7 linked regions of the Kluyveromyces lactis genome follow. The protein of the gene in region 7 purifies or fractionates together with the protein of the main gene of each other region. This does not show direct contact. Links are inferred from orthologs where the notes say so. Each region holds a gene or a part of one and is shown on either strand. Other genes may lie near its edges. The genes, in order: ARX1, REA1, NSA2, NMD3, RSA4, NOG1 and BUD20.

The links.
Region 1: the proteins of BUD20 (region 7) and ARX1 purify together in Saccharomyces cerevisiae (affinity purification with mass spectrometry; 10 studies listed by BioGRID, with this or other methods). This does not show direct contact. The link is inferred for Kluyveromyces lactis from reciprocal best matches to the Saccharomyces cerevisiae genes BUD20 and ARX1.
Region 2: the proteins of BUD20 (region 7) and REA1 purify together in Saccharomyces cerevisiae (affinity purification with mass spectrometry, with the first as the bait; 4 studies listed by BioGRID). This does not show direct contact. The link is inferred for Kluyveromyces lactis from reciprocal best matches to the Saccharomyces cerevisiae genes BUD20 and REA1.
Region 3: the proteins of BUD20 (region 7) and NSA2 purify together in Saccharomyces cerevisiae (affinity purification with mass spectrometry; 7 studies listed by BioGRID, with this or other methods). This does not show direct contact. The link is inferred for Kluyveromyces lactis from reciprocal best matches to the Saccharomyces cerevisiae genes BUD20 and NSA2.
Region 4: the proteins of BUD20 (region 7) and NMD3 purify together in Saccharomyces cerevisiae (affinity purification with mass spectrometry; 7 studies listed by BioGRID, with this or other methods). This does not show direct contact. The link is inferred for Kluyveromyces lactis from reciprocal best matches to the Saccharomyces cerevisiae genes BUD20 and NMD3.
Region 5: the proteins of BUD20 (region 7) and RSA4 purify together in Saccharomyces cerevisiae (affinity purification with mass spectrometry; 5 studies listed by BioGRID, with this or other methods). This does not show direct contact. The link is inferred for Kluyveromyces lactis from reciprocal best matches to the Saccharomyces cerevisiae genes BUD20 and RSA4.
Region 6: the proteins of BUD20 (region 7) and NOG1 purify together in Saccharomyces cerevisiae (affinity purification with mass spectrometry; 7 studies listed by BioGRID, with this or other methods). This does not show direct contact. The link is inferred for Kluyveromyces lactis from reciprocal best matches to the Saccharomyces cerevisiae genes BUD20 and NOG1.

Annotation. Positions count from the first base shown.
Region 1 is NC_006042.1:1,097,561-1,102,302, reverse strand, and holds ARX1 (putative hydrolase), read left to right. Parts: upstream 1-1,881; coding exon 1,882-3,597; downstream 3,598-4,742. Other genes in the region: PDA1 (pyruvate dehydrogenase (acetyl-transferring) subunit E1 alpha), read right to left, coding at 1-874; recombinase DMC1, read left to right, coding at 4,149-4,742. UniProt on the Saccharomyces cerevisiae protein: Probable metalloprotease involved in proper assembly of pre-ribosomal particles during the biogenesis of the 60S ribosomal subunit. Accompanies the pre-60S particles to the cytoplasm.
Region 2 is NC_006042.1:1,841,398-1,845,313, reverse strand, and holds part of REA1 (AAA family ATPase midasin), read left to right. Parts: coding exon 1-3,916. UniProt on the Saccharomyces cerevisiae protein: Nuclear chaperone required for maturation and nuclear export of pre-60S ribosome subunits.
Region 3 is NC_006041.1:1,204,393-1,208,255, reverse strand, and holds NSA2 (rRNA-processing protein NSA2), read left to right. Parts: upstream 1-1,636; coding exon 1,637-2,422; downstream 2,423-3,863. Other genes in the region: small subunit rRNA maturation protein LCP5, read right to left, coding at 222-1,409. UniProt on the Saccharomyces cerevisiae protein: Involved in the biogenesis of the 60S ribosomal subunit. May play a part in the quality control of pre-60S particles. Under normal, rapid growth conditions, high levels of NSA2 would allow the progression of pre-60S particles through the ITS2 processing.
Region 4 is NC_006037.1:458,424-463,003, forward strand, and holds NMD3 (ribosome-binding protein NMD3), read right to left. Parts: upstream 2,695-4,580; coding exon 1,150-2,694; downstream 1-1,149. Other genes in the region: ATG7 (Atg7p), read right to left, coding at 1-828; NOP19 (Nop19p), read right to left, coding at 2,950-3,543; ATP-dependent RNA helicase DBP8, read right to left, coding at 3,744-4,580. UniProt on the Saccharomyces cerevisiae protein: Acts as an adapter for the XPO1/CRM1-mediated export of the 60S ribosomal subunit. Unlikely to play a significant role in nonsense-mediated mRNA decay (NMD).
Region 5 is NC_006039.1:747,573-752,113, reverse strand, and holds RSA4 (Rsa4p), read right to left. Parts: upstream 2,378-4,541; coding exon 830-2,377; downstream 1-829. Other genes in the region: IMG2 (mitochondrial 54S ribosomal protein mL49), read right to left, coding at 10-543; mitogen-activated protein kinase kinase kinase SSK2, read right to left, coding at 2,905-4,541. UniProt on the Saccharomyces cerevisiae protein: Involved in ribosome biogenesis. Required for processing and efficient intra-nuclear transport of pre-60S ribosomal subunits.
Region 6 is NC_006041.1:2,149,496-2,154,693, reverse strand, and holds NOG1 (putative GTPase NOG1), read left to right. Parts: upstream 1-2,003; coding exon 2,004-3,935; downstream 3,936-5,198. Other genes in the region: FZO1 (mitofusin), read right to left, coding at 1-242; Sec63 complex subunit SEC62, read right to left, coding at 643-1,383; DTR1 (Dtr1p), read left to right, coding at 4,852-5,198. UniProt on the Saccharomyces cerevisiae protein: Involved in the biogenesis of the 60S ribosomal subunit.
Region 7 is NC_006040.1:485,681-489,476, forward strand, and holds BUD20 (Bud20p), read right to left. Parts: upstream 1,703-3,796; coding exon 1,199-1,702; downstream 1-1,198. Other genes in the region: ubiquitin-specific protease OTU1, read left to right, coding at 73-1,032; RPL10 (60S ribosomal protein uL16), read left to right, coding at 2,341-3,003. UniProt on the Saccharomyces cerevisiae protein: Involved in pre-60S ribosomal particles maturation by promoting the nuclear export of the 60S ribosome. Involved in positioning the proximal bud pole signal.

The sequences.
Region 1 (4,742 bases), on a different chromosome or scaffold from region 7:
TTGGACCGTTACCGGAGACAGTCCAGTCCTTAGCGAACTTGGAAGCTTGGTAAACAGCCAAGATATCCATACCGTTAACCTTCAAACCAGGAATGTATTGACCACGCTTGAAGTATTCAGTCATGGCTGAAGATCTTGCGGCAGCGGTACCCATACCGTACTTGTTGTTTTCACAACAGAAGACGGCTGGTAAGTTCCATAACTTGGCCATGTTGAAGGATTCGAAAACTTGACCTTGGTTAGAGGCACCATCACCGTACAAGGCAAAAGAACAAGCATCTTCGTGTTTGTATTGATGAGCGAAGGCCAAACCAGCACCCAATGGGACTTGGGCACCAACGATACCATTACCACCGTAGAAACCAGGGGCGTACAAGTGCATGGAACCACCCTTACCGAAGGACACACCAGTTCTTCTACCCATCAATTCAGCCAACACAGCTTGAACAGCAGCACCTCTCATGTAGGTGAAACCATGACATCTGTAAGAGGTGATGACGGTATCACGCTTAGTGATAGCGTTTTCAATACCAACGGCAATGGCTTCTTGACCGACAGAGGAGTGACAGAAACCTCTAATTTTCTTAGCCTTGTACAAAGCGTCACAGGCCATTTCCATTCTTCTAACGATAATCATATCCTTGTACATTTGTAGCAAATTGGACTTGGTGGTTTGATAACTTAATTCAGGAACATCCAAAAGATAACCTTCAAAAGAGGTTTCTGGCAAATCAATTTGAACTAGGTCATCATCACCTGGCTTAGTTTCATCAGCAACCTGGGACAAAGCACGGACGTTTTTAGAAAAGTTTCTAACCAATCTCAAAGAGCTGGACTTCCCAACCACAGAGGATTGAGCTTTCAAAGATAGCATGGTTTGCCTAATTTATTGTTCTTTTCGGTATTAACTACTATAGCGACCAACAATTAGAACACACAAATACACACTCAGCAGTAGTGATGGCAAAATATGTTGTATAGAGAAGAAATAAAGAAGAAGAAGCTCTGAGTTCCTGATTCTATATTAAAACAAAAAAAAGCCAACTAATGAACGATTCCTTGTTCCAAAAAATTTGACAAAAATCAATCAATCAATCAATCAGTCAGTCAATTAATCAATTGCTTGGCTCAGTATCACTGAAAGACCAAAAAAAGGTTCTTAATCACGCAACAACTGTTTCTCATCATATTCACAATTAAATCCGCCTTTAAATACTTGTGAACTTGGGAAAAAAACTTCAAAAAATTTCGTAGCCAGCCAGTCGGTATAGATAAGGGACTTGAAATAACAAGAAGTGGGTATAAGCAAGGTCAATTTTGCTCTAATTGGGGTCAAACTTGAACCGTTGGGTAGCTGATGATGCGGAGAGTATTGATATTCTACTTATTATGGGATATCTGACAGTTTCGTCTGGTGTAGGTAGAGTTTATTGTGCTGATTCAATTAGACAGACGGGATTGTTGTTAGAAAGAGTGGGAAAAGTGACGTGCACAGCGCGGTGTTTGGGTGGAACATGGGCAGCAGATCTATTACCCGGATAATATGCGGGTCATGAGTTCTAATGATACACATTACCCGAATATTAATACTTTTGGCGCACGTGATCAGAAAGTGATTTCTTTTTCATTCTCTTCTGATCGAGGTCCGGGTAATATTTTGGAAAATTTTTTGAAATATCTTAGTGCTGTGTGGCAGGAAAGGTTGTATCCAGGAAAGAAATTTGGAAAAAAAAAGTATCAGTGAAAACTTTAAAGCGATGAGATGAGATGAGGTAAAGAGAAACGAGGTACATACTTACATCATTATCATAGTGTATCGTTCCCTCCTTTGTATCAGAAAACAGCTAATACTAATAATTTGTGGATAAAATTATCCGTACTATGGCGTTACAAATCTCAAAGGAAGACACTCAGGTGTTATTGAAAGATAAGAATGTATTGATCGAACCAACAATTGAGAAATATAGAACTGCAGGTCAAATTGCTCAGACTGCTTTAAACTTTTTGATCAGTTTGATCAATAAGATGTATCATGAGAAGTCTATGGAGCCGCTACCGATTCATCAACTTTGTTTATTGACTGATTCGTTCATAGCCGATTGTTTAAGTACTAAGTTCAACAATAAGGTTAACGAGAAGGGAATCTCAATGCCAACTTGTATTGATATCGATGAAATAAACGAGAACTGGTGTCCTGAAGTGGATGACATCGAAAACTTGTCCCGTTGGAACCAAAAATCTAGATCTACCAAATCGATCGAGCTATGTAACGGTGTTACTTCTAGTTTGTCTGGGTTTTTGAAAGTTGGTGATGTCGCTAAGATCACTTTGGGTTGTCACATCGATGGGTACACTTGTAACGTGTCCCACACCGTGGTCATTTACCCAACCGTTCAGGATGCCCAATCTGGAAAATTGCTACCTGAAGCTGCTTTGCTAGGTGGTAAAGCTGATGCTCTAGCTGCCACCCATATCGCTGTTGAGTCCGTCACTAACTTATTAGCTGCTGCAAACGATTTGACCAAACTTCCAGCTGATTTCAACGCTACGAAGGTCACTGGTTCCTTGATTAGGACCGTAGTTGACACCATTGCTCAATCTTATAATTGTTGCGTTGTGCCTGGTTCTCGTATCAGAAGAATCAAAAGATTCCTTTCTGGTCAAAACGAAAATATCATTGTCGAAAGAGACTTCAAAGGTGTCATTTGGACTGAGTCTCATCAGGAAGCTGCTATGCTTGCTAGAACCGTCAATGAAACTGCTGTTGATGTCAAGCGTAAGAACCCATTTATCACCGAAGATACCGTGGTCCCAACAGATGATTTTACCGTTGTCAAGGGTGAAGTTTACATGATCGATTTGAAGTTGGCTCCATTGCAAGGATTGGAGCCAGGTTTGATCACTTTACACACTGTCGATCAATTCTCCGGTAAATCTGAATCCTCTGATGTGGTGGCTAGACCAGGTGCCATCTGCCGTGATTTTTCAAAGAGCCATGTTCTAAAGTTAAGAGCTGCTAGACAAGTGTTGACCAGATTGGATAAACAAGGTGTATACCCTACCAAATTAGCTCATATCGCTGATTCTTTCCCATTGGACGTACAGGAGCCTGATTTCGAAACCATCAAGCAAGAAATCAAGCCATTCAGATTAGGTCTTTCTGAAATTTCTAACAACTACCTAACAATCGACAGAGATGTCACCATCGTAAAACACGTTCCTTGGGCTAAGATCTTGGATCTAACAAACCCATCCGGTGTGTCAAGTTATGACGCCATGGCAAAGAATAAAGGTTTATACCCAGGTTTCGAGCTTCCTCTACCTAAACTAGGTTTGTCCAACCTACAGTTGAAATCCTTGCTAAAAAAACACTCTACGCCAGTTCCTGTGGTCCGTCAATGTGTCACTGTAGCCATCTGTGATGAAGAGTTGCTAAGAATCAGCGGAAACCTAAAATCTAACTGGGTTCATTCTGTTTACTCTATGGATACTGCAAGCAATATCGTTGCAGGTATATTCAAACTGGCTCAATTGTCCGAGGATAAGAGATTTGGTTTGAAGATCAGAGAAACTCAACCATGGAAAATGAAATTCTAATTTATTCATTACCAGTATTAACTACCTTCTTTGATAGAACTACTTCAACAGATAACAAATTCTATTTCATACACAAACACCCTTTTCGCATCTGCACACAATAACTCTACATTGATACACCAGTTCATATTATATTCAATACTCGTTTGATTTCGGTAGCCCAAGAGTCTTGTTCTTATGAGTCTTTATTCTTACCAACCAATTGCAACAAAAACAATGTATAAATAGCAACTTCTAAGTATCTTGTAGATCTGTACACTAGCAAAATCATAATAGAACTCAAGCTCTCAACTTTGTCATTAGTTCTTCTACTATTAGTGTGTTTGCTTCGGAAGGATTATCAAAACGTTCAAAATGATGGCGGCTAATTAGATTTTAGTATAAAAAGGATTTGGAGTCAGAAACCAAATCAACAAACCCAACTACCAATGAATATGACATAGCGAGATATCTAGTGCACATAACTAGGAGCGAGAAGGTGATCCTAAAAACCAATAACTTTGCATTTCATTCTACTTGAAACGTCCCATTCCATTTCTATTTAAGCTGTCATGTCTACAGAGACAGAAACTAAAACCAATGTGGTCAATATTGATGAGTTACAAAACTTCGGAATTAACGCGTCTGATATAACTAAATTGAAGACTGCTGGTATATTTACCGTTAACACTTGTTTGTCGACGACCAGAAGGAATTTGTGTAAAGTTAGAGGGTTATCGGAAGTGAAGGTAGAAAAGATTAAAGAAGCTGCCAATAAAATCATCACCATTGGCTTTATTCCAGCAACTCTGCAATGGCAGATTCGTCAAGCAGTTATGTCTATCTCTACCGGGTCGAAACAATTCGATTCTGTACTAGGAGGAGGAATAATGACAATGTCCATAACTGAGGTGTTTGGGGAGTTTAGGTGCGGTAAGACTCAATTATCCCATACGTTATGCGTGACAGCTCAATTACCAAAAGAACTAAATGGACCTGAGGGTAAGGTTGCATATATTGATACAGAGGGTACTTTCAGACCAGAAAGAATCAAGCAGATAGCACAAGGGTATGATTTGGATCCCGAAGTGTGCCTTGAAAATATCTCGTACGCCAGGGCACTCAATAGTGAGCATCAGATGGAGTTACTTGAACAGCTTGGCGAG
Region 2 (3,916 bases), on a different chromosome or scaffold from region 7:
ATATGAAGTTTATTCGGATATCAACGACATCTTCGCAGGTTACGTGTATGCCATGAAATTTGGGTTCAATGTTATTTCTCTTGGTGCAGAAAATGAATCACAAGAATTAGACATCTCTCCATTATTTACAGTGGATTGCTTAGCGGTTACCAGAGAAAAATCTATTTTGAGCCACTTTTCTAGGCTTAATAAATTCCTCAAAAACCAAAATGTTGGCTCTCACGATGTGGAGGAGATTTTAATTCATTTCTTGAATTTATGTTATGCCCACAAAGATAGTGAAAGCATGATTGATAGTTTGAATGAAATCCTACAGCCACTATATTATAGATGGTCATTGCGAAGAATGAAAAGTGAGCAAGAAGCAGAGCAAAAGAACAGCCTTTTTAAGTTCAATGACAATTCAGATGACATTGAGGCCGAATTTAAGGCAATGTTCCCAGATTACGAAGATTCAGTTTCACTCGATTCTCCTGTTGAGGAATCATCAGCCACATCTTTAATCGATACGTACTACGAGATCGCTAAAATTTACATTGAAATATTCGAGGACGCTTCAAATGTTTCCTTGAGTCAAGTGATGAGAAAAGGATCTGAAACTTCTGTTATTTTGCTACGAAGTTGCTCTGATTTCAAGCTATATAACTTGAACGAATCAATGGTTCTTGCTGCCATCAAGACTTTGTCTGAGAAAACTAATTCTTTCAAAGATTCTAGCAACACTGAAATATTTGACTTTTACAGAGGCACTTCGAGAATTGAAACCAAAAAGGCACAGCATGTAATCCAAGGTTTGTGGAACAATGTCAACACTTTACTCAAAGAATGGCCCGAGCATGCAACGTTGCGGGATCTTTTCCGCGTCTGTAAAGAATTTATTTCTTATCCTGTTTCAACACCAATGGCAAGACTCTTGCAGAAAATAGAGCAAATTTACACCTTCGTGGTGGAGTGGCAAAAGTATGCATCTTCTAAAGTCTCCCTACAGGCTCACGTTGACTCAATAACTAATCTCATAGTTTCTTGGAGAAGGTTGGAACTACACACTTGGAAGGCTTTATTCCAAATGGAGGATATGAACAGTACAAAGACCATTGGAAATTGGTGGTTCTATCTTTTCGAAACGATTATAGTGGGAACAGAAAATGCCAATATTGACGTTTCTGAGAGATCTGGTTCCCTTCTTTCTGCTTTGAATGTTTTCTTCAGTAAAAGCACTTTGGGAGAATTCGCAAATCGTCTAAGACTTGTAAAAGCATTCTGCAAACATGTTTCAGTGATGCATGGAAAGACATCAATAATTTCACAAGCCCTCCAAAATATCATCTCCTTCTATGAGCAGTTTACTTCTGTTGTTAACGACAAAATAAAAACAGGAAAAAAGCTTCTTGAAAAAGAGATATCAGAGGTGATTCTTTTGGCAAGTTGGAAGGATGTGAATATCGATGCTTTGAAGCAAAGCTCTCGCCGGTCTCACAATAGTTTGTTCAAGATTGTTCGCAAATATAGAACGCTACTTTCCGAACCCTTAACTTCTATGATCGAAAGCGGAATAGATTCCGCTCTGCCAGTAACTAAACAATTTGAAAGAGTAACAATCTCCCACTTCAGGTCTATCGATGTTTCTGGGGCCAAATCTATTGTCACAAATATTCCGGGATGGGAAAGTAGATCAAAATCTTTAAAAGATATCTACATCACACAGAAGAATCTTTCTATTTATATTTCCAAAATCACGAATCAAAATTACCCAGATTTGTTAGAGTATGCCCTTTACATCTCAAAAGAAGCGAAAAGGCTTCGTGAAGAAACCCCTACAGTCTACAAAAAGGAAAAGAAGAAATTATTGGCTACCTTGAAGACCCAAAAGAGTAAATTACTCAGTGACTCCTTAAAGGAGCTCAAAAGAATTGGTTTGAAATCAAACTTTAGAGAAGATATTAGAAAAATCCAACAAAGTGTTGTATCAGTGTTGACGAACTCAAAATCATTTAGAGAAACCGCGATAGATTCTTCTGATGTCTATTTCTTTAGAATTTTGGACCTGCTTCCACGATTGAAAAATGCAATTGCTTTCCCAACAGACGATATTCCAGTGTCCTACTTGGAAAAAGGTATGGCCATGACCGAGAACTTAATTTTTTCGTTGATTGCCAGCAGACAACCGCTCTCTATATTTGTGCACACTTATAGTAAAATTGAATCCCTGAGATTAGACCTTGAGAGTGTTTCCCTGGATTGCCATGTTTTGAAACATTTCGATCTATCTTATAATTTTGGAACGTTCAGGCACATATGTAAGTGGTTGCCTCAATTGATCGATTACATTCTTGAGTACGTGGAAGACAGTACAGCTCATGAGGTTCCAAGATCCACTGTTTCATATTTATACTCGTCTAAACAGAAACTTCTAGATTTCTTAGCACAATCTGAAATGTTTAGGATATACAGTGATACCACTGAAAACATATTGGAAAACTTCAATGCCTTCCTTAAGGAATTTATTTCTGCTATATCAGCTATGAATGGTACAAACTCATTCTTTGTGTATGATCTTTTGGAATCATGGCTTCAACAAGCTCTTTCTCATGGAGATGTTATCTTTGATACTATTGACCCTTCGCTGGAAGAACTTGATGGAAAATTACGCCGGATCAGTACTGCCATTTTAATTTCTGTCCAAAAACTAGTTGAAAACAATACTACTCCCATATCTGAAGAGGATGATAAATGGCTAATCGAGCTTAATAGAAGAATTGTCTCAAATATCAAGATTGCTAACTGCAACAAGATCTTTGCTTTGATTGATGATCTTGTCACTACAATTAAGTCAACGTCATTTACGGCAGAATCATCTCCAATGGTTGCTGCAGCTGTTTCATTTACCATGCCATTTATCAATCACTATTTCAGCATGTTGAATGACATTTTGAATACAACTTCAGAGAATTATTTCAAATTTAGCAAATCGACTTATATCTTCTCGAATATGCTATACAATCTCGCTAAAGATGGATTCTGTTCTCCAGAGCCTCCTTCAGAAGAGACCGAAGATAACAATTTGCAGGAGGGTACAGGTCTTGGAGATGGAGATGGAGCTCAAAATAATAGCAAAGATGTTGAAGAAGATGAGGATTTGTTAGAAGATGCTCAACAACCGAACAAGGATCAACGAAATGACAGCGACGAAGACGACGAAGAAAAAGAAGATGATGCTGTTGAAATGGAAGGCGATATTGCCGGAGACCTTGAAAATGCATCTGATCAAGAAAACGAAGAAGAAGATGATAACAACGAGGACGATGAAGACGAGCTAGATGAAGAGATTGATAATCTTGACGAGGATGATCCTAATGCATTGGATGAAAAGATGTGGGAAGAGGAAGCTGAAGATGATTCTAAAGAGAAGGATTCCGAGAACATGCCTGAAAAATCTAATGCCGATGATGTACAAGCATCAGAGGAACAAGCAGAAGATGATGTCAAGCCGGAAGACCACCAACAAAACCAAGAAACTGATGAAATGGAAACTGAAGAAAAAGATAACGATGATGACGGTGAAGAGCAAGAAGAAGAGGAAGAAGATGTTGGAGAACAAGAAGATGAAGTTAGAAATGATGAAAACGAGAATCTCGAAAATAACGTCCCGGAAGTAGAAACAATGGACCTACCAGAGGACATGAATTTGGATTCTGACAAAGATAATGAAGAAGATGGCTCTGAAGAAGAAGAAGAAGATTTCGAGGATAAAATGGAGGTAGATGAGGAGGAAGAAGAAGGTAAGCAGCCAGAAAATACAGAAAATGAACAAACGAACATTGATGAAGAATCTGACGCTGATGAAAACCGCGAATCAGATGAAGACGTTGATATGGATGGAGATGATAATAGTGAAACCGAAGAGGCTCTTGATAAA
Region 3 (3,863 bases), on a different chromosome or scaffold from region 7:
TGGAACGCTTAGATTGTATTAATTAATTATTGGTGATTACACCTTGATATGAAGAAAACGAGACAAAACGAAACGAAACAAACCACATCAAAGCTAGAGTTTGAGCAGTGCAACACCGTTATCATTCGATTTATAAACTACGTATTTGACACTATATGATGACAATAGAGACGTATGGATATTTTAGCCTATTTATACATAGAAAAAGAAGGACCTCAGGTTTACAACTTCTTCTTGGCTCTTTCCCAAGCATTTCTAGATTTCTTATTACCTCTTCTGCTTGTACTATCCTCCAACTTACGCTTGGAGTTGAAGATACTGAAATCTTCACCGGCGATCATATTAACCTTGGCCATGATTTCTCTTTGTTTTTTCATTCTCTTGTCAGTCTTGGATCCGTTGGGGTTCAATCTAGTGAAATTTTCTTCTTCGAATCTTTGAACATCACGTTCACGTTCTGTATCTCTTGCTGTCTTCACACCACCTCTACCATGGTTGACGATATTGGCACCGATAGAAGTTTCCCATTCCGGTTGTTCCGAGGAATCCTTCAAGTATTCTTCCATAGCTTGCATACGAGACCTGCTACTCTTATCCTTATGTTCTTGTGCGTTGAATTTATCCTCGAAGTGATGTTGCTTTGGTGGCAGAACGGCACTGATCTTAGGTGGTCTATAAACGTTATCTTTATCATCCACATCTTCTTCATTGTGAGTACTCTTGACAGCGATTTTCCCCTTGGCTTTCCCTCCAACTGATGTGTTATTGACCATTCCTGAACTGTTCGGCCTATATTGCATCTCTTCTTCACTATCAGAATCTGAGTCTGATACTTCTTCCTGGGAAGCACGTACGTCACTCAGTCCCTGCAATTCGGCTCTTTTCTTGGATTCTTCAACGTCTTTCTCCAGTCTAATGTACGCCCGCGTCAATTTATCCAGCTGGTACCCTAACTTCTTCTCCAAGGGCTTCACACCTCTTTCAAGAACAACTCGTTGTTCCACTGCCCTGACTCTACCCTCATCAACAACCATCTCTTTATTCAATTTCTGTCCCAATACCAACAGAAGCGAATTCAAATACGATAGCATACTCCCATTCTTCAAAGAAAGTAGAGAAACTTTTTCTAATTTATCACCTTTGTGACCTACCACCGCTGAACCTTGGAAAGGATGGGTCTCCTCATCATCATAGACTTCTTCTAACTTATCCAAGCTTTCTCCACAAGATTTCAAAGAATCTCTAATCGTTTTCAAAACAGTTCCTAACTCCTCAGACATGGCTATATTTCCGCTGTAACCCTTGTCAATAGAATGTAATGAGGTTTTATACATCAATAACAGTAGATCGAACCTATGCCAAACCCACACCAGACAACCAAACTTGTATCTGGCTGATACCCATCTCATCTCATCTCATCGCTTGATTCCAAATTTTTTTTTTCACTACGTTTCTTTTCGACATTTCCTATTGAATTTTTTTCTTTCAATGAGAAAAGCATACAAAGACAACTTGAACAACTAGCTCATCGCATGGGTTAACATGTGGTAAGAAGTCCATTCAAGGAGTCCGTGTGTCCGTTTGTGATTTAGAAGTAAGTCATCACCGAACAAGTCGTTCTTACAATAAAACAAAGATGCCTCAAAACGAATATATCGAACAGCACATCAAGCAACATGGTCGTAGATTAGACCACGATGAGAGAAAACGTAAGAGAGAAGCCCGTGAGGCTCATAAGATCTCTGAAAAGGCTCAGAAATTGACTGGTTGGAAGGGTAAGCAATTTGCTAAGAAGCGTTATGCTGAGAAGGTTGCTATGAAGAAGAAGATCCGTGCTCATGAGCAGAGTAAAGTTAAAGGAGGGTCCAAACCGTTGGATGAGAACGGGGAGGCTTTGCCTACTTATTTGTTAGACAGAGAACAGAACAACACTGCAAAGGCTATATCCAGTTCCATCAAGCAGAAGCGTTTGGAGAAGGCTGACAAGTTTTCTGTTCCTTTGCCTAAGGTCAGAGGTATCAGTGAGGAAGAGATGTTCAAAGTTGTTAAGACAGGTAAGTCTAAGTCTAAGGCATGGAAGAGAATGATCACGAAACATACGTTTGTTGGTGAAGGGTTTACAAGAAGGCCTGTGAAGATGGAAAGGATTATCAGACCTAGTGCTTTGAGACAAAAGAAGGCTAATGTGACGCATCCGGAACTTGGAGTCACCGTTTTCTTGCCAATTCTTGCGGTGAAGAAGAATCCTCAATCGCCAATGTACACACAGTTGGGTGTATTAACCAAGGGTACTATTATTGAAGTGAACGTCTCGGAATTAGGTATGGTTACTTCTGGTGGTAAAGTGGTTTGGGGTAAATATGCTCAAATCACGAATGAGCCAGATAGAGACGGTTGTGTCAACGCTGTGCTACTTGTGTAAGAACAAGTACAACCTATTACTACCAAAATTCCTACTCATCTCAATTATTCCCTATTGCATCACCCCCCACTCCGCTACGTTATTGTATATTACTATTTCATTTTAGAACTGAGTTCCCTTATTAGAAAGTACTGGCTAAATCATCATTATTTAATCATATATTTAGCGTTAAATACTGAATTATAGCCAATGAGACTGACAATTTCATGCCTCGCTGCCGTTGAGATACCAGCTATTCCAATGCATTGAACTAATTGCTACTCACACGTCGTGTCAATTGACCTTCTGGACCCTCAGGTTACCCTAAGTATTCATCTTTATTGTTTCACAATAAAGTAGGGTACTACCCTACCAAATCATACCAAATAATTTTATCTATATATATATATATATTCAGTATTATACATACACATTCTTTGCGCTTGATATACACAAACTTACCTTCAAAACAGCACTTATTAGGTCAGATTCTAGCACTGGTCCATATACAGATACTAGCGTCGACGTTGTTCAGGAAAAGAACATCATTGATCCCACTGGAAACGAAGTAGTTCCCCAGATCAAATTGATTTCTGGATCTACGTTCTAGTTTTCACCACAGAAACTGATCCGTAAGCAATCAGTGCTTTTTCCAAACCCCACCAGTATGTATTGAAATTTGTCCTAACGGACAGCCCCTTTACCCATTAACCTTTACCTTCTTTCCCCCTGTTCTGCATCTACAGAAAGCTTTTGCCAATTAATGATCCAACTTGAGTCTCGTTTAAATTACTGTTATAGTGATACTGAAAGTAGCACTATACAGATTCTCATATTAGAACTGTTGCAGGTGACTACAGTACCTTTGATCCAGCCTCTTCGCTCAATCCAACCCTCTTTTTGATTCACATTCTCGTCCTGATTTAGAAGTGCCGGACAATAATCCTGGCCACGGTGGACTTCTCTGCCTAACAGCTATTTCGATCGTGAAAAATGTCTGTCCAGACAGATTGTCCGGCACGTGAGCAACCCTGGTTTTCCCTGAATCATTTTTCTCAAATTCCTGTCTACGCTCATCTGATCTGCCTAGACCGCGGGCGGCGCCCCCGGTCTGGCTAGGCAGGGCAATAGGAAAGCAGATATTTCCTACGCGGGCGTCTACGTATTTCTTGAGTATTATTTTTCATTATCCCTCGAATAGTATGGAAGAATCAGAATCGTATAAGAATAGAGAGAATCAAGAATCACAGAGAGTTTGCATTGTAAGAAGAGCGTGTTACTGGAACAATTGTTTGAGGTTTTCCTGGTGTATACAACAGACCTATGAGTTTTAGGGTACGCTAGACAAAAGATCAGTTTCTGATTTGTGGGCTTTTTATACTTTCGCTTGTTTTATATTTGTTTGCTTCCAGATCTGGTACCAGATCAGCTGCGAACTAAATTTGGTTTCATTCAAAGAAAA
Region 4 (4,580 bases), on a different chromosome or scaffold from region 7:
GGGATCCATCAATGAGCTTAAGTCAGCCGATTTCGGAGCTAATTTTCCAAGACCATTTTTCTCCCAACCGCTGACCTTAAGACATCCTGTATTGCTCCCGGTAACTCTGATCTCTGCCGCGAAGCTGGAATTATCATCACGAAGGAAACATATGGTGTACGTATTCCTTGTGGATATTTGACTCCAAACCGTTAGAAAGTTCTTAGTAACTGCGGCAGGAATGCCCTTCAGCCGACTGAAGTCCTTGAAGATGACTTTCTGACATACTTTGAGATACTGAGGTGATGCTTCCTGAATCTTTCCATCCACAACACAGGAGATAAAGCTGTTCTGCTCCCATATATCCTTCTTTACACCATCTTCGATTGATTTTGTTGAGATTATTTCGTACGATGACCCCTCAGACTGGAAAGTAGGCATACAAACCCAATAATAAAACTTATATTTCTTCAAATCGGCGAAGCTTATGACATAAAACCTAACACACTCTTTGAGACCATTCTTGAGGCCCTGTTCTAGTAATTGCTGTCCCTTTTCCTTGATAAACTTTACTTTGTCACAGGATTTGAATGATTCGATAGTATTAAAATTCAACACTGACCCTTTCAAAGTCACTGCCTCATTATTGAGAACAGGATCGAAACTGTCATCTCTAAGCGAGAGTGAAACAGTGTTAGAAGTGATATTTTCAAGGTCTAGTGCAGAGAACAATTCTTTCTCAGCAGAGTCTAACTTGAACACTTCAAGTTTTAATCTTGATAATTCATGGAAAAACGAGGTATCAACAAAAGACTTAAAAGCTGGTGAAAACTTAAGATCGTTAAGCATCTTTCCTGGTACTCAGGTTTTGTTCCATGAAGAAAGAATAGTACTTCTTGGTTTACTTTATTTATCTATGCACTGCAGTTAAGGGTATAGTGTATCAGGGTAGTATTACGAATCGACGTCTTTTTTACAAGAATGAACTAAACTCAGGAAAGCATTGTTACCCTGAAACATGCCAATTATTAATATTCACTAGTGTACACTATACAAGACGGCCATTGTATCATTGATCTAATGCAGATGATGAGTAAATTCAACTAACTTGCCTATCTCGTAAATATATATTGTAATTATTGTCCAAACAAGAAGAGACTAAACCAAATTCTATAGCATTTCTTCACCTTGTTGTTGATCTTCTAAAGTCATCTCATCCAACTCATCTAATAGTTCATCAATATCAATTTGTGGAGCATCTTCATCTTCATCTTCTTCCATCTCGCCTTCGTGCTCTGCTGGTTTGTTGCTCTTATATAGATTGATTGTTTGTCTCATTTCCTCATCTTCCTCCAATTCTTGTAGGAAAATCTCATAATCTCTTTCAGCACGTTCCATTTCTTGTTTCTGTTGTCTTGAAGTGTAGTCTTGAGAAGCTTCGATATCCTTGTGTTCCTTAGCCATTCTCTTCAACTTCCATTTTCTGTTCTTCTTTGTCTTTCTTTGATATAGTTTCTTGATTAGAACGATGTCTGGCACGTAATCAATATTTAAACCATCGAAGAGCTCTGAGTTATAGTTAGAGTTAGCGATAAAGTAACCCATGACACTGTCACCAGGATGAATAATACCACCAAGATGTGTTCTAACGTAATAGACTTGGTCATTGGAGCCTAGATCGGAAGATCTAGCGACAGTAACGTCAGCCAATACCCATTTGTTTCTAACTTGACCAGTAGGTTCAACGTCCAATATGATGAATTCAACTAGTTGGGACACTTCAGCTAATGCACTGAAAGGTTCACGCCAGTACATTGGAGCAGTCAAATCACACGTTTGAAGAGTGGTTGGATCCAGGAACTGGAGAGAGTTAGAAACCTTGGAACAGATGACAAATTGACTGATGTTACCCAAAGACTTGGCAAGCTTCTTAGGTAAAACAACCAAATCATCTCTACAAATTGGAACAATTTCCACGGAAAAAGTGAATTTGTAAGTAGATGAACCGGTATGGATATCTTGAGAGATTAACTCCTCGGATTTTTTACATTTGATAGGTACGACAGCATTTAAGAAATCCAACATCTTAGCAGCATGGTTCTTTTGAGAATAGAAGAAATCTAAACCATCCTTTGCCTCACTAATGGAAATGGTGTCAACATGGGCATTGTGCTTCAAAATCAACTGTTCTAAATACAAGAAAGTTCTCTTATGAGGAACTTTTTGTCTAATTTGGACGTTTGCTCTCCATGTATTAGTGGTATAAGATCTAGCACAGTCCGGACATTGCATGGCAATCACCACATATTCCACTTCAAATGTTTGCTGGATAATAGTGTTAGCCATAGCTTCACCTTGAACGGTCAATTTGACCCGGATACGTCTAGAATGAGGTTCGGTCCAGATAAATGATGCATCCACTAATCGAACTTTGTTTAAGCCTTTCAAACGACGTAAACACAACGCCAAAAGTTCACGAGATTCCAAAGAAGCCCTAATCCATTGGCTTGGTGGTTGCAAGAACCTCTCACAGTTTCTACAGAAAGAAACATTAGCCTCTCTGGGAATACCTTCTGTAATATCGACATTCAACTTAATACAGTCGTAACACATAACTAGCCCTGAGGACCCATCCATAGGCACACCACAACTGCAACATAGCACTGTAGCATGCTGATGTTGCATGTGATTCTGATCTAACGGAGTGTAATTCATCGAGTTCGGTGGATACTTCTGCCCTTGCTGGAATACCTATAATGCAGACATTAATCAGCTTTCAAGCACTATCAGACTGTGCAAGAACAAGATGCGATGAGATGAGCTTTCTCAAAATTTTTCTTAAAAGAGACTGCGAACCCTCAAGAAAAAGAAATTTTGCACGTGACTTTGAACCTTGGATTTATGCATCTATGCATATTAAGCTAGTCTATATACAGGAGAATTACACTTTATAAAGAATGATTAACACGTTCAACGTTTGGATTTCTTTCCAGCAAATAGCAAGCCAAATTGTTTCTTGGAATGTTTTTGTACTTTAGGTTCCATATCTTCTTCATCCGAGGAAGAGTCGGAATGCGATGAAGTCGATTTGGTATAATATTGGTTTTTACTGTGGTCTTTCGAAACATTTGTGCCTCTCGGAAGCTCGTTACGTATCTTCTGTCTTTCCTGATTCCTTATCTTATGTTTTAACGAAACCATAGCCTGGGAGTCGTCTTTCCTCACTCTGTGTATACTGTTTCTCTGTTGCACGTCCTTGGTAGCTCTTTTCTTTTTGGCTAAAGAGCTGACCTTCTTATCACTTTTGATGAACTCTCCAATGGTATGTATATCGGTATCATCAGTACTTTGCGCGTTCTCAAATGATAAACCGCTTCCTATTTGAATGACAGGCAACTGGAAAAATTCCTTCTTTGATTCGTTGCTATCCTCCTTTGCTAGATCATTAGATGACGTCTTAGAATCCTCTATCCATCCGAGCACCTTAGCAGTGGAACTGCTAAACCCATTTTGAAATTTAGCAAGTAGTGCTTGCTTTTCTTTTATCTCCTGAGCTCTTGACATGGCTTGGTGAGTCTGTATTACTTGTTAGATTGTAAGAGTATACCTTTATGGCGGCCGATGCATCTCATCTGGTTCGATCTCATCGCTTCAAAGAATAAGTTACCATTTTTTTTTCAGTGATTACTCTCTAAGGAAGAATCAGAATTCACGTGACTGATTTTTAAATGGAATATGTGGATAGGTCTATCAACTATGTGAGTTTATGTACGTCTATGAGTCTTTTCTTTGGATTCATTCTTTCTCTTTTGGAGTTTCCTTCTTTCACCAAAACCTTCTTTATCCATGGCCATGAGACTTTCTCTTTTTGCTGCTGTAACCTTAGTTAACGACTTCCTAATCACGGCTGTATCACCTACATCGGTGAACTCTTCCATCTTTTTATTAATCCTTTCCTCAATTGCCTCTACTCTTTGAATATCCTTTTCTGTTACAAAACATAGTGATTCACCATGGCGTCCGGCACGCGCTGTACGACCAGCTCTATGAATGAAAGTATCTGGGTTGCCAGGAATATCATAGTTTACAACAAGTTCAACAATAGGGATATCCAAACCTCTAGAAGCGACATCAGTAGCGATAAGAACTCTCGCAGCTTGTGCCCTGAATCTTTGTACAGAGTTCGTTCTTTCTTGTTGTGGCATTTGACTATGAAGTGACGTGACTCTTACATCTAAAGATTTCAAAGTTCTTCTTAAGATTTCAGCCGTTACGGTACGATTAACGAAAATAATGCAACTTGATTTGACGTATTTCTCACTGGTCAATATCTGGTATAAGTATGACTCTTTAACGTGCTCTGGGACTAGCAAATATGTCGTCTCTAATGTCTTCGGAATGGCGACGTTATCAACAGACTCAACCTCAAAAGTAAACACAGGAGGTTTGCCCTCCGTCTGTGGAGCGTCTGATAAAGCTTTCACTTGGTCTGTCATAGTAGCAGTGAAAAGGAGATTCTGTCTTTTGTTTTTCGGTGGTAAAATACTTACACATGTAGCAAGGTCCTTACTGAACGTTTCCGTCAATAATATATCGGCTTC
Region 5 (4,541 bases), on a different chromosome or scaffold from region 7:
GGAATAAGCTCAAAAGGTGGTAGCCAGAGCCCTCTTCACGTGCTTCGTGGCATCACCTTCAATGATAATTTTATTTGATTGAAGTATCACCTTCCAGTACTTCTTTGGAATGAAAGGAAGCCTTTCTTGTAGATCGTTTCTTAGCTGCACAGGATCCCCTTGAATCTTTCTGATTTCGGTGACAATCTTATTGCTGTTTTTGTAGTCAGTGTACACAGGTAAATTTCCGTTAATACTTCTTTGAATGAAATATGTTTTCTTCCCAAATGGAGCGGCTCCCACTACTTCCTCGGGGCTTACGTCTTCAAGTTTTGGGAATACTGTAAAAGGACTTTGACTGTCAAATAAAGCACTGAGTTCGGCACTTTCGGCATCAGATAATGGTCCCAATTTGTCCATTTCTGATTTAAGTTCATTTAAAAGCTCAATTTCTGAGTTTTCCTGTTGTTGTGGTTGCTGTGCTTGGGTTGATTGTAGTCTAGTACAAATCCGAAATGATCTTGGGCTCATAGCCGCAAAACTTCTTGTAACTCTTGTAAGCATTATTAACTAGCCGTTGTATTATTAGTAGGCTGTTGTGTGGTTATGCAGGTTTTCCCGGTGTACACCTTTCTTACTATATAGATAACTTATCGATTTCCTATGGTAAATGCCGGCTGAATCGTTCTTCATCTTTTCAACTATGCTTGAAGCTTTAATTTTTCAAAATTTTCAGCTTGTAAGAAGAAGGGACACCTGTGCACCTCATAATAAATGTAAAAGAAGCTATAACATACATAAGGCAGTCTATAATTTAATCATGCTAATTATTCAGATGCAGTGGATCCACTCAATGAGTCCATATCCTGACCATTTTATCTTTCCCACCGCTACATACACGTTTACCGTCTACAGACCAATCTACAGTGTAGACTTCATCTTGATGACCGGGTAGATCGACGGACAGTTTTCTAGTTTTGACATCCCAGACTTTTAAAGTGGTATCTTTGGAACAAGAAACGAGTAGTCTACAGTCGCTTGACCAAGCTACTTGGTAGACACTCGCTACATGTCCTCTAAAGGTGGATAGGAATTTACCATCCCTTCCATCCCATAATTTAATGGAGTTGTCAAAGGATGCAGAAACAATGTAACGGCCATCTGGCGAAAATGCAACGTGGTTGACGAGCTTTTGGTGGCCGGTCATTCTGGTAATAGGTTTAGTAGACTTCAAGGGGTTCCACAGATACATAGTAAAATCGTCACTGGCAGTTACCATCAGTTCTTCGAAGTCACCTTTTCTTTTAGCAACTTTTTCGTAATTTTTCAGAGCCTTCTGTTGGGCTTCTTCAGGTGAAGCAGGAGTTTCGCCCTTGTGATCGAACGCACCGAGTCTTAATGCATAATCTGTTGAAAGTGAAAGATGATTAACCCAATGGGCGTGTGATTTTAGGATATTGATACATTTACCGTTCAAATTCATGTCCCAGCATCTGATTGTTTTATCGTGAGAACCACTGTATAGAACATTTTTTCCACCCCACTTGACACAGGAAACAGAAGACGTATGGCCACATAAGGTTAAAAGGCAAACTCTTCTTGTTGTATCCCAGATTTTGATAGTTCCATCCTTGGATGCAGTTGCTAATCTCGGTTTGTCACCAGGTTTGACAAGATGGATTGGTTCCCAAGATAAGGAGGTAATCCATTTCGAGTGACCTCTTAAAGCATCACCATAAGGCTTACCTTTGCTTGATTCCCATAATCTAATTGTGTTGTCCATAGAACCTGTGGCGATTAATTCACCATCTGGAGACCAGGAACAACATAGGACCCAGTTGTGATGGCCTTGTAACGTGCACATACGCGTTTGAGTGTCACAATCCCAGATACATGCAGTATTGTCACCAGCACCGGTAACCATCCTGGAGCTTGTATTTGGAGCAAATGCAGAACACAAAATTGTCGAGCCATGACCAGCAATTGCAGAAGACGACCGAGTTACTGGTTTTACTTTGAAGATAGCTCTTGGGGTATACACTAGAGTCAAAAAATCTTCGGTAGTTTTCAAACCTGGTTTTAAAATGGATTGATATAGATTATCTCTAATATCTACCATTTCCTCATCTGCATCCTTCTTTTTGTTGCTAACTAAACAGCTAAACGTGTATGGAACAGGATCTGCCGAGTCTCCATTTAACTGATTCAACAATTCCTCCAGTTGCTGCTCCGAAATACCACCTGGAACCCTTAGAGAACCTCCAACAGTTTCACCACTGTCAAAAGCTTGGAATTTAATGAGAACATTTGGAAGGTCTTTGGGAATAAGGTCAACTCCACGTTCAGCTTGAGCTTCTCTTCTTTGCTTCTTTGAAGGCGGTGGGAGTAAGGTTGCCATGTTTCGTTTGGATTGCTTGGCCTAACAAATTCAGAGAATTATTTTGGGCTCGTTTAATTACCTAAAAACTTCTTTCGAGAAAAGACCTGTGATTATTGCTGGAATACTAATATCGTTCACCAGAACCTTCTCCTTTTTAGGGAAGTCGACTTGGTAGTTGAAGCTCATCTCATCTCATCTCATCGGCATCTCAAAAGATTTTCTTGAACTTAAGAATTTCTTTTAGTTCACCACTTCCGGGTAATATAAATCTTTATTATGTTGAAACTATGCTCTGAATACCTTATGGGGAGCATCAGGCACAAAAAATTCCTAGACTGCAATTTACTTACTGGCAAGCAACTCACAGATAACGGAAAGTGCATGTTACATTGATACTATACGGATCCGGCATTGTTTAAAAAAAAGTCAAACAAAAGTTCCTATTATTATTATATATACATACAATACTTATACAAAAAAAAAATCTATGGTTACAATTGTTACATATGATCGTCATGGGGAGGAAACTTTTATGTCTATCAGAACTAGTTATGAGTTTCATTATTAAAAGATTCTGCATTGCCACCAAATGCAATGTTACGTATTTGAGAAATCCAGGGATCAAGTAACAATTCCATTGCAGTTGCTCTTTTATTGGCATCTTGTATTAAGCATCTGCTTATGAACTTTCTACCCGCAGATGAAATTTCAGACTTGGTTGGGAATTGCGGAAGGTGACCAGCTGCAACATGATACATGATAGCCCATTCATTGTCTAAGTTAGCCCATGGACGTCTACCGGTCACCATTTCCAGTACAACACAACCTAAAGACCATATATCATCGGATCCGAATTTTCCGTGTCCTTGACCAGTCACCGTTTCTGGTGCCATATACATCGGTGTTCCGATCATATCTTTCCCGCCTGTAGATTTGTTATTGGCATCCAGTGATATCCTCTTTGATCCGTTCTTTGCAATGAGTTTTGCGGCACCAAAATCTACATATTTGATAACGCCATTACGATCCAATAAGATATTCTCCGGTTTGATATCTCTGTGCACAACTCCAGATTGGTGCAAACATGCCAATCCCTCAAGTAATTGTAGTGTGTAAACTTGAGTTACCATTTCATCTTCAATCCGGCCATGTTCGAGTAAACTGGCTAAGGAGGAACCCTCGCAGAATTCCATAAAGATATTAACCTTGTCTCTGTGAACTTCCACACCATAGTACTGAACAATATTCGGGTGATTTAAGATCTCCATGACGCGCATTTCTTCTTTGAGAGATGGGAAAATTTGCTTCATGGATTTAGCATCTTGGATTTTGATCTCTTTTACCGCTAAAATATCACCAGTATCTAGGTTAACAGCGGAATATACAGTACCAAAGCTACCACTTCCGATAAAGCTACGCTTTTGCCATCTAATAGAAAGGTTAGATATTGAAGAAGCAAGAGATTTCAACAATTTGCTTTGATTATCGGTATCATCAATAACTTTACCAACAGAATAATGCCTTTTGACTTTGACAACCTTTTCCATATCTGTTATTGCATTCATACGCATCTCTGAATTAACAGCCAAAATCATATCATCGTCAGCATCATCGATATCAAAGTTTGGTCTTGTTTGTTGAGCATCAATCCTTTCAGCTTCTCTGGATCTTGCCCCTGTGATGTCGAAGTGAGATATTAACAATGACATACATCTAGCAATCTTCTCTTTCAACAACTTGAATTCCTTCTCCTCAATCCCCAAAATATTCCATCCGTTGGTCATACGCATAGCAAATTCCATTGCTGGGACACACCATCTAAATGTTTCTGGATTGGCCGGATCACATTCATCAAGAACAAAAGTTAACCAGTCTATGCTGATCTGAATCATAAGGCGAATAATAATTGCCTTAGTTTCCGGTGTAGCGACATTTAATAGAAGGAAGTTTTTTGCAAAATCTTTCACGAACAAGTATGCTATGTTGAAAAAGACACTCTCGTTAGTCTGTAAAGTGACATTCTTCTGTACGCTGCCGAAGTTTTTCAATACAATATACGTCATCCTGAAGTAGGATTTATTGATACGTTGAAGAGCCGTCTCAATGCTGTTGATAGCACATTTTTTTTCCCGTATGGATATCGCATCACCGGCAAAATGTTGAAACCTATCCACTTGATAAT
Region 6 (5,198 bases), on a different chromosome or scaffold from region 7:
AGACTGTTTCTGTTGAGAGAGTATGATTGTTGTGTCAAATGAGAATAAAACATATGATCTCTCGACCTATCACGACGATGAGAAGAATGCCTTTGTAGAAGGTTACTCATTTGAACATCTGTTAAAGTTGTACTTGACTCCAACTGATGTGATGAAATTTCAAACGGGGCATCGTTGCTCAACTCATCTTCATATTTAGAGCTTCTTCTATTAGAATTCTGCGATATTTCCTTCTGTGACATGTTGCAGAAGTTTGTAATATTGTGGTGCGGCCGTTCGCTCAGTTATAATACCTATACTAGGATTGGAAGCGAGTGGTATCCTGTTGGCATTATTTTTCTAACTGTTTGCAACTTCTGCTTTCATTACTGTTTTCATTACTGTTGCTGCGTTTTTCATTTTCTTACTTGACCTTAAATCAATTCATGCAAAATAAAACTTTAAAAGAAGGTGATTTCTAGTGTCAGAAACCAAAGATGTCACTACTGATATTAGTATGAGTACATATATCTATATTTATATATGTTTGTATGTTTATATGTGATATTAGTATGTGATTCTCACCGAAAGAATGAACATACACCTTCTGTGATAGTTAAATTGCTAATGTACAGTCTGGGATGGAAGTCCGTTACATTGAAGTTATTTTTGCTTCTTTGCAACTGATCTATGCTTTCTCTTTTCTTTCTTCAGGAAGCTATAGCATTCCTTTTCACCAAATCCATATAGCGGTTTGAAACTTTCTATAACACCGCAATCTTCGAACAAGTTTGGGAAGAGCCAGAACCCACCCTTCTCGCTAACTGCAGCTAATGACAACAAGTAAACTATCAATCTCACAATTGCAATACCAAAGAATACACCGATAAGTGCCAATGCTGCAATGGATAAGTAGTAAGTACCACGTTTCATATATGGAGGCCATAATGGGTAACACACGAATGCTAGCACACCGACTATGATACCGATCACAGTCAAGTAATCATAAATTGATTTTGGATTATAAGACCAGACGTAATATTCATCTGGTTGTAGAGTCGCTTTATTCGATAATAATAAGTTTGGATATGATTTGTTTGGCTTTAGACCATGTTCTTTACATTCTGCAGAATGTAATTTAACCGCTGGTACGACAAATTGGGCCTTGATTAAGGAAACAAAAATGTTACGAGCATCTTCATCGCTTGTCACAGCGGGGTACAATTCGGGTTGTTTTTTGGACTTTGCCTTATATTTATCACTTTTCAAAGCTCTAACAAATCTTTTATAACGGAAGAAGTCAACTAAACGCGATTGGAACAATCCTTGTCTTTGCTTCAAGTCGCTATGAGTCCTGAGTAGATTGGCAATGGCTATCGTAGATTGTGGGCTTGGTTCCGACATAGTAACGAAACAAATCTATATTTGAAGAGAAAAATTCAAAAAAAAAAGGCGGATAAGGCAATTCTACCGGAAATTAGGCAATTATCAGGTAGTGATTAGAAAGTTATAATGAATCTAGAGATTGGACTCAAGCTGTATTCTTTCAGATCAAAATCTCATTGATATTTCTGTATATATTGAAAGTTGAAACGTAAACCGTAAATAAAATGTTCACATACATTTTAACAGTAAAATATATTGTTACCCCGACAGTCTCAAAAGAAAGTGCTTTAGTCACGTGACATAACCAATGTGTATGCCTTTAACGGTCAATTCTGAGATCCATACGAAAAAGAAATCCTGAAAGCACAATTTTTTTTTTCTTTTCAAAGGTTTGCAGTAGTGGGAAAATTTTCCAAACGGCAAGCTCATCTCATCTCATCTCATCTCATTGTGCATTCGAAGTGATAGACAGAGCTTGATTATCAGTGTGACATCCGTTTGACAGGTAGTTTGAATAGATTGGAAGTTTGTTCAAACAACTAAGCATAGCTTAACTGCATTATTGCTAGTTTAATTGTTTTTTGTTGTCCCCGTGTGTGCGTGTATCCCAAAGTTTACGTCAAATCAATTAAGCAACAATGCAATTATCCTGGAAAGATATTCCGACCGTGGCTCCTGCCAATGACTTGTTGGACATTGTGTTGAACAGAACTCAAAGAAAGACACCTACTGTTATTAGACCAGGTTTCAATATCACTCGTATCAGAGCGTTTTACATGAGAAAGGTGAAGTTCACCGGTGAAGGGTTCGTGGAAAAATTTGATGATATTTTGAAAGGTTTCCCTAATATTAACGACGTGCATCCTTTCCATAGGGATTTGATGGATACTTTGTATGAAAAGAATCATTTCAAAGTTTCTTTGGCTGCTGTGAGTCGTGCTAAGACATTGGTCGAACAAGTTGAAAGAGATTACACAAGATTGTTAAAATTCGGTCAATCTCTTTTCCAATGTAAACAATTGAAGAGAGCCGCTCTTGGTAGAATGGCTACCATTGTGAAGAAGTTGAAGGATCCTTTAGTGTATTTGGAACAAGTTAGACAACATTTGGGTAGAATGCCATCCATCGACCCAAACACCAGAACTTTGTTGATTTGCGGTTATCCAAATGTGGGTAAATCCTCTTTCTTGAGATGTATCACTAAGGCTGATGTCGAAGTGCAACCTTATGCTTTCACCACCAAGTCGCTATATGTGGGTCATTTTGATTATAAATACTTGAGATTCCAAGCGATTGATACTCCAGGTATCTTGGATAGACCTACGGATGAAATGAACAACGTCGAAATGCAATCCATTTATGCTATTGCTCATTTGCGTTCTACTGTTATGTACTTCATGGATCTATCAGAACAGTGTGGTTTCTCTATTGAAGCTCAAGTCAAATTATTCCATTCGATCAAACCATTGTTTGCCAATAAATCCGTCATGGTCGTCATTAACAAGACTGATATCATTAAACCTGAAGATTTAGACGAAGAACGTAAGAAACTTTTGGATACTGTTTTGGAAGTTCCAGGTGTTGAAATCATGACCACTTCTTGTCATGAAGAAGATAACGTTATGGCTGTTAGAAACAAGGCTTGTGAAAAGTTGTTGGCTTCCAGAATTGAAAACAAGCTAAAATCTCAAGCTAGAATCACTAACGTCTTAAACAAGATCCACGTCGCTCAACCTCAAAAGCGTGATGATGGTATTGACAGAACTCCATATATTCCAGAAGCCATCGCTAAGATGAAGAAATATGATCCAGAAGATCCAAACAGAAGAAAATTGGCTAAAGAAATTGAAATCGAAAACGGTGGGGCCGGTGTATACAACGTTAATTTGAAGGACAAGTATCTATTGGAAGACGATGAATGGAAGAACGATGTCATGCCAGAAATCTTAGATGGTAAGAACGTTTATGACTTCTTGGATCCAGAAATCGCAATCAAATTACAAGCTTTAGAGGAAGAAGAAGAAAGATTAGAATCTGAAGGCTTCTATGAATCCGACGAAGAAGAAACTTACGAAGGATTTGATGCTGACGAAATCTCTGAGATCAGAGAAAAGGCAGAATGGATTAGAGATAGACAAAAGAAGATGATCAATGCTTCAAGAAACAGAAAGGCATTGAAGAACCGTGGTACCATGCCTCGTTCTAAATTGGCAAAGACATATGGTGACATGGAGAAGCACATGTCTTCTTTAGGTCACGATATGACTGCTTTGCAAGATAAGCAAAGAGTCGCTGCTGAAAAGAACAGATATGAGCAAACTGGTGCTGACGTGGTATACGGTGATCAAGAAGATTCTGCTCCAGCTGGTAAGCTAAGACAGACAGATAGATTGACAGACGGTGTTGCTGATGGTTCAATGAGATCGAAGGCTGAAAGAATGGCCAAATTAGAAAGAAGAGAAAGAAACAGAATGGCCAGAGCCGGTGAATCTGACAGACATGCTACTGCCTCTCTACCAAAACATTTGTTCTCAGGTAAGCGTGGTGTTGGTAAGACTGATTTCCGTTAAACTGTCTGTTCTTCCTTCCTTTCCATCACTGGTGATTTCGAACATATATTATCGTGTTGCCAATTTCTTTTCTATCTCTATTGAACTATATATATTAGTCACTACTTTCATTTATTTGTCTGCATTGGGTGGGTTAAATTTAATTATTACTCCTTTATTTGTAAAATAGTTACGTACTCTGTAAAATTATAAGAGTTATACCTTTGATTTGCTTTTCCTTGACCAAATAACCAACATCCCTCTGACCTCAGTAACAATTTTATCTTTGAAAGTTATTGACTAATCTTGAAGAATAAAAAGGATGAAAATTGTAGGATCTAAATAAAATAGAAAAAAAGGAAACACTGACATAAATATTTCACCAAAACAATCTCAGTATACCTGGAATATTTAACCGTCGACCAACATCATTTTGCTTGAGTTATATTTGATTGCCTCTATTATTTCTCTATCGGTTTATCAGGCGACAGTTTTTTTTTTCTCTCTCCTATGTGCCCTTAGTACAGGGCAAGAAAAAAAAGGACGGCTTCACAACACACATCTAGGTAGGCCTCTTTCACAAAAAATTGACTCTCAGTAACATATAAGCCATGAGATTTTAGCACTTGAAAGTACGGGTGACATAAAAGCTCCAATAAAACTCTACAAAACGATATATGCTCTTTGTATATGTCAATTGTAAAAGGTGCTTTCCGTCTGAAAAGTGTTCGTATGATTTTCGAAGAAAAATTCCCGGTGTCAGTTTTAAGATGTCACAAAATGAGCAAATAAGAGAGCATTGAGCTATAAAGACTCATATTGAAGGTAAAACAAGATATTCAGTTTTGCTCTAACAACGCTTTGGAGCATATCCAAGACCATTGGCTCAAATACCAGATTTTATAAATAAAGAGTCTTAATTTATCGCTATACAAGTATGGGCGTGAATCGAAGTAACAGTATTCTATCATCAGGGTCTCACAACAGCAAGACAATTCAAAATATCGAAAAAAAAATGGAAGGCTTACCATCGCCGTTGATTACAGCCTCTAATATATCGATAAACCCAAATGAGAATCGTTTAGAAAAAGAGTCTGATATGACAGATATCAGTGAAATAAAAGACACAGATTTTGATAGTGACAAGTCGAAGGAAGAGCAAAGTTCTATAGTACGCAACGAGAAACATCCAGAAACGGCTTTCACAGCTCTAGAACCTGAAATTGCATATAATCCACCATATAGTGCGTTTTCAAACTATCAGGTTGTGAGCATACTATTAAT
Region 7 (3,796 bases):
GCCATAGCATTTCCATATATATCTGTCGAATAACCACCGCTAAACGAGACTTAATATATTTCCTATTCGCAGATGAGGGTCAAGGTATCTATTTCTGGGAAGAGCGACAAAGTTTTAACTGTCGAAGCCGAATGTGATTTGGAAACATTTCAGGGACTCATTCTGTCCTCATATGAAGATGATCTATCATTGCAGAGTATGCGGTACGGATTCCCACCTCAGAGTATACTTTTTCAGGGGAATGAGGCTAAGACACTTGAAGAGCTAGGAATATGCAATGGGGAACGGATCATAGTGAGCCTGAGTAAAGCCGATGAAGCTATTGCCACCAGAACACAACCAAGTATTAATGCCAGTAAAGCAAATACACTACCCAATAAAGAAGTGAAAAAGAAGCCCACTGGTAAATCTGAAAGTGTACAGATAGATTCAACTAGAGCACTACAACTCCATGAAGTGCCCGATGACAATTCGTGTCTATTCCATGCTATATCCTATGCTGTCTACAAGAACATTTCACTGTCATCAGAACTACGGGGAGTTGTGGCGTCAGAAGTCCGGAGAGACCCATTTGAATATTCAGATGCTATTCTTGGCAGGCCGAATCATGAATACAGTGAGTGGATAATGAAACATTCTTCATGGGGAGGTGGTATCGAGATTGCAATATTATCGAAACATTTTCAGTATGCGATATACGTGCTCGATGTGGATGCACGTAAATTCGAGAAATTCAACGAGGATTTATACGATAAATTTATTATTATAGCATATAACGGAGTTCATTATGATACGGTAGAGATATTTGATGGAACTCAGCATCAAACTGTATTTGACATCGGAGAGAAAGATACTGAATTCCTTTTACAAAAAACACAGGAGATCGCGAAGAAGATGAAAAGAGAGGGGAAGTCTTTCAATACTGCAAGAGATTCAATTTTATGCAATACTTGTGGCACCACCTTGATTGGAGAACGAGAGGTGAGCAAGCACGCTGAGAAAACTGGTCATGTTGATTTTAGGCAAAAATAAAACAAATATAACCATTGAATAATATTGAAGAAAGAAATAGCACTTAATATATGAGCGTCTGTATATCTACCAGTTTATATAATTGCACTTTCGGTGTATTTCTCTTGTGTTAAATGATAATATACATTGAAGAAAAAGCACAGGAAGTGAAAATGTTTTCCTGCATCTAATCAGCCATTTGAATTTCCCCTTCAGCAACTACAGCTTCTTGCTGTGCTTGTTCCTGTACTGCACCATCAAGGTATGGCAAAGTGGATTCTGTTGTGCTGACGTTGGCCAAAGTGGTATCAAGATGTGAGGTTAATATCTTTTCGTTTTCCTCCTTTTGAGGACCAATTTGAGATTTGATCTGCTCTACTCTAGCCAAGAACGAGTTCACACCACACCCAACAGCAGCATCTGCTACCTGTTGAGTGTATGGAACACCTTTCAATTCCTTCACCCTTCTCTTATGGATTTTAGTCTTCAAATGAGTCTTTAAGGCATATGCAGTTTCGAAATATTTAGCACAGTGTATGCAGTAGTATTGCCCTAGACCCGGTTTAGTTTCATCTATCGGCTGATTCAGGAGACTATCAATTTGCTTTTGAGATGTAAGCTCTTCATAGATCAAATCAAGATCCTTTGTTCTTCTCTTCGTCTTGTAACGTTTAACAGAATATCTTCCCATTTTCCTTTCTTACCTTCTCCTATATTTCTGACAGGCTGGTACCACAGATTAACTTAAACTATCAAACAAAACCAATGAGTATCTAAGTCTCATAGAGAAAGAGATTCAATGATGTGTGTTTGTACTTCTTTCTTCGCACTTGGCTTTATCGTAGAAACACCGAGTACATAAAATTTTCTGCAATATCATGTCTCGTCTCATCTCATCTCATCTCATCGACTTGGAAAAGAAATGAAATTTCAATCAGCATCACGTGCATAACAACGCATCTGGGACTGCTATCCCCAACACCCAGACACTATTACATATTGGCATTCAACATATTTTTATGATACAAAAACAACCACAATAGGAAATAGAGCACGTGATTAGTAACTATTTTCTTTGATTTGTTTTCACAGTAGTTTCTTACCGTGTGACTTCGCTACGACTTTCCAATCTTTTTCAAGTTTCTGACAAATGCAAAAGCTTCCTGCAATAGTTGGTGGTAATCATCGAGATTTTCAAATGTAATAAAAAGAGAACATAATTTAATGATAATTATCGATATCTTTAACATAAGGTTTGATCATTCGCTTCAATTTTGTTTATTATTTACAGGAACACCGATCACCTATCACCGTCCAAAGTAATTCAAAATGGCTAGAAGACCAGCTAGATGTTACAGATACCAAAAGAACAAGCCTTACCCAAAGTCTAGATACAACAGAGCTGTTCCAGACTCTAAGATCAGAATTTATGATTTGGGTAAGAAGAAGGCCACTGTCGATGAATTCCCATTGTGTGTCCACTTAGTTTCCAATGAATTGGAACAATTGTCTTCTGAAGCTTTGGAAGCTGCTCGTATTACTGCTAACAAGTACATCACCAAGATGACTGGTAGAGATTCTTTCCACTTAAGAGTCAGAGTCCACCCATTCCACGTTTTGAGAATCAACAAGATGTTGTCTTGTGCCGGTGCCGATAGATTGCAACAAGGTATGAGAGGTGCTTGGGGTAAGCCTCACGGTTTGGCTGCCAGAGTTGCCATTGGTCAAGTTATCTTCTCTGTCAGAACCAAGGACAACAACAAGGACACTGTCATTGAAGGTTTGAGAAGAGCTAGATACAAGTTCCCAGGTCAACAAAAGATCATTATCTCTAAGAAGTGGGGTTTCACTTCTTTGAACCGTGAAGAATACGTTAAGAAGAGAGACGCTGGTGAAATTAAGGACGATGGTGCTTTTGTCAAGTTCTTGTCCAAGAAGGGTTCTTTGGAAGAAAACATCAGAGAATTCCCAGAATACTTCGCTAAGGCTTAAATTTTTTATGTGTTGAATCAATAATAATTTCATCGTCATTTTAAGTAACCTAACCTACATACTATTTTAGCTTACCATTATGTTTTGGAGTTAATTCAATATCATTTTTCTTTCCTTCTCTTTAATCTCAAGTATGGACAATTCTCCCGAATAAAATGATACAAACCTATCCTTTGGCAATTACAATCATACGTAAATAATACATATAGATCCGCTTGGCAAAAACTAGGATTCTGTTTTACGTACAAATAATATTTGATCCAATGATGTACTTTTCAAGTCGAATTTATGGTAATTTCCAAGTGCCATATATGCAATCTTAGCCTTCATCCTTTTTTCTAAACTTGTAGGTGAGATTCTTCCTCTCCCTTTACTTGTAAGGATCGACGATATGCTGAAGATATGTTCGATATGAGTCGATGAAACAGCAATGCTGTCCATTAGGTGATTGAAAAGTGAAAGGATGGGGCAGTTTTTGATATCAGCCCAAATCTTGTGATGAACGTCCCGCATAGTCAATAAGAGATATTCATATTCACTTAGTTTGGTTCCATTAGAAAGTTTGAACATACCAATAGTCTCTTCATAAACGGTACCGTTACAATTCATATGATCTTCAGTATACTGAACGTGCATTTTATTGTATTGGCCATTGAAGCTTTGGACTTCTTTTAGAACCATTGAATAGAAAATGTACCGGAAATGTGATTCATCTATCCTTTGGTCATCGATGGTTTCACTGCCATCATCAAATACAATACTCATAATACCAGGTATACGTGGCTGAGATGTT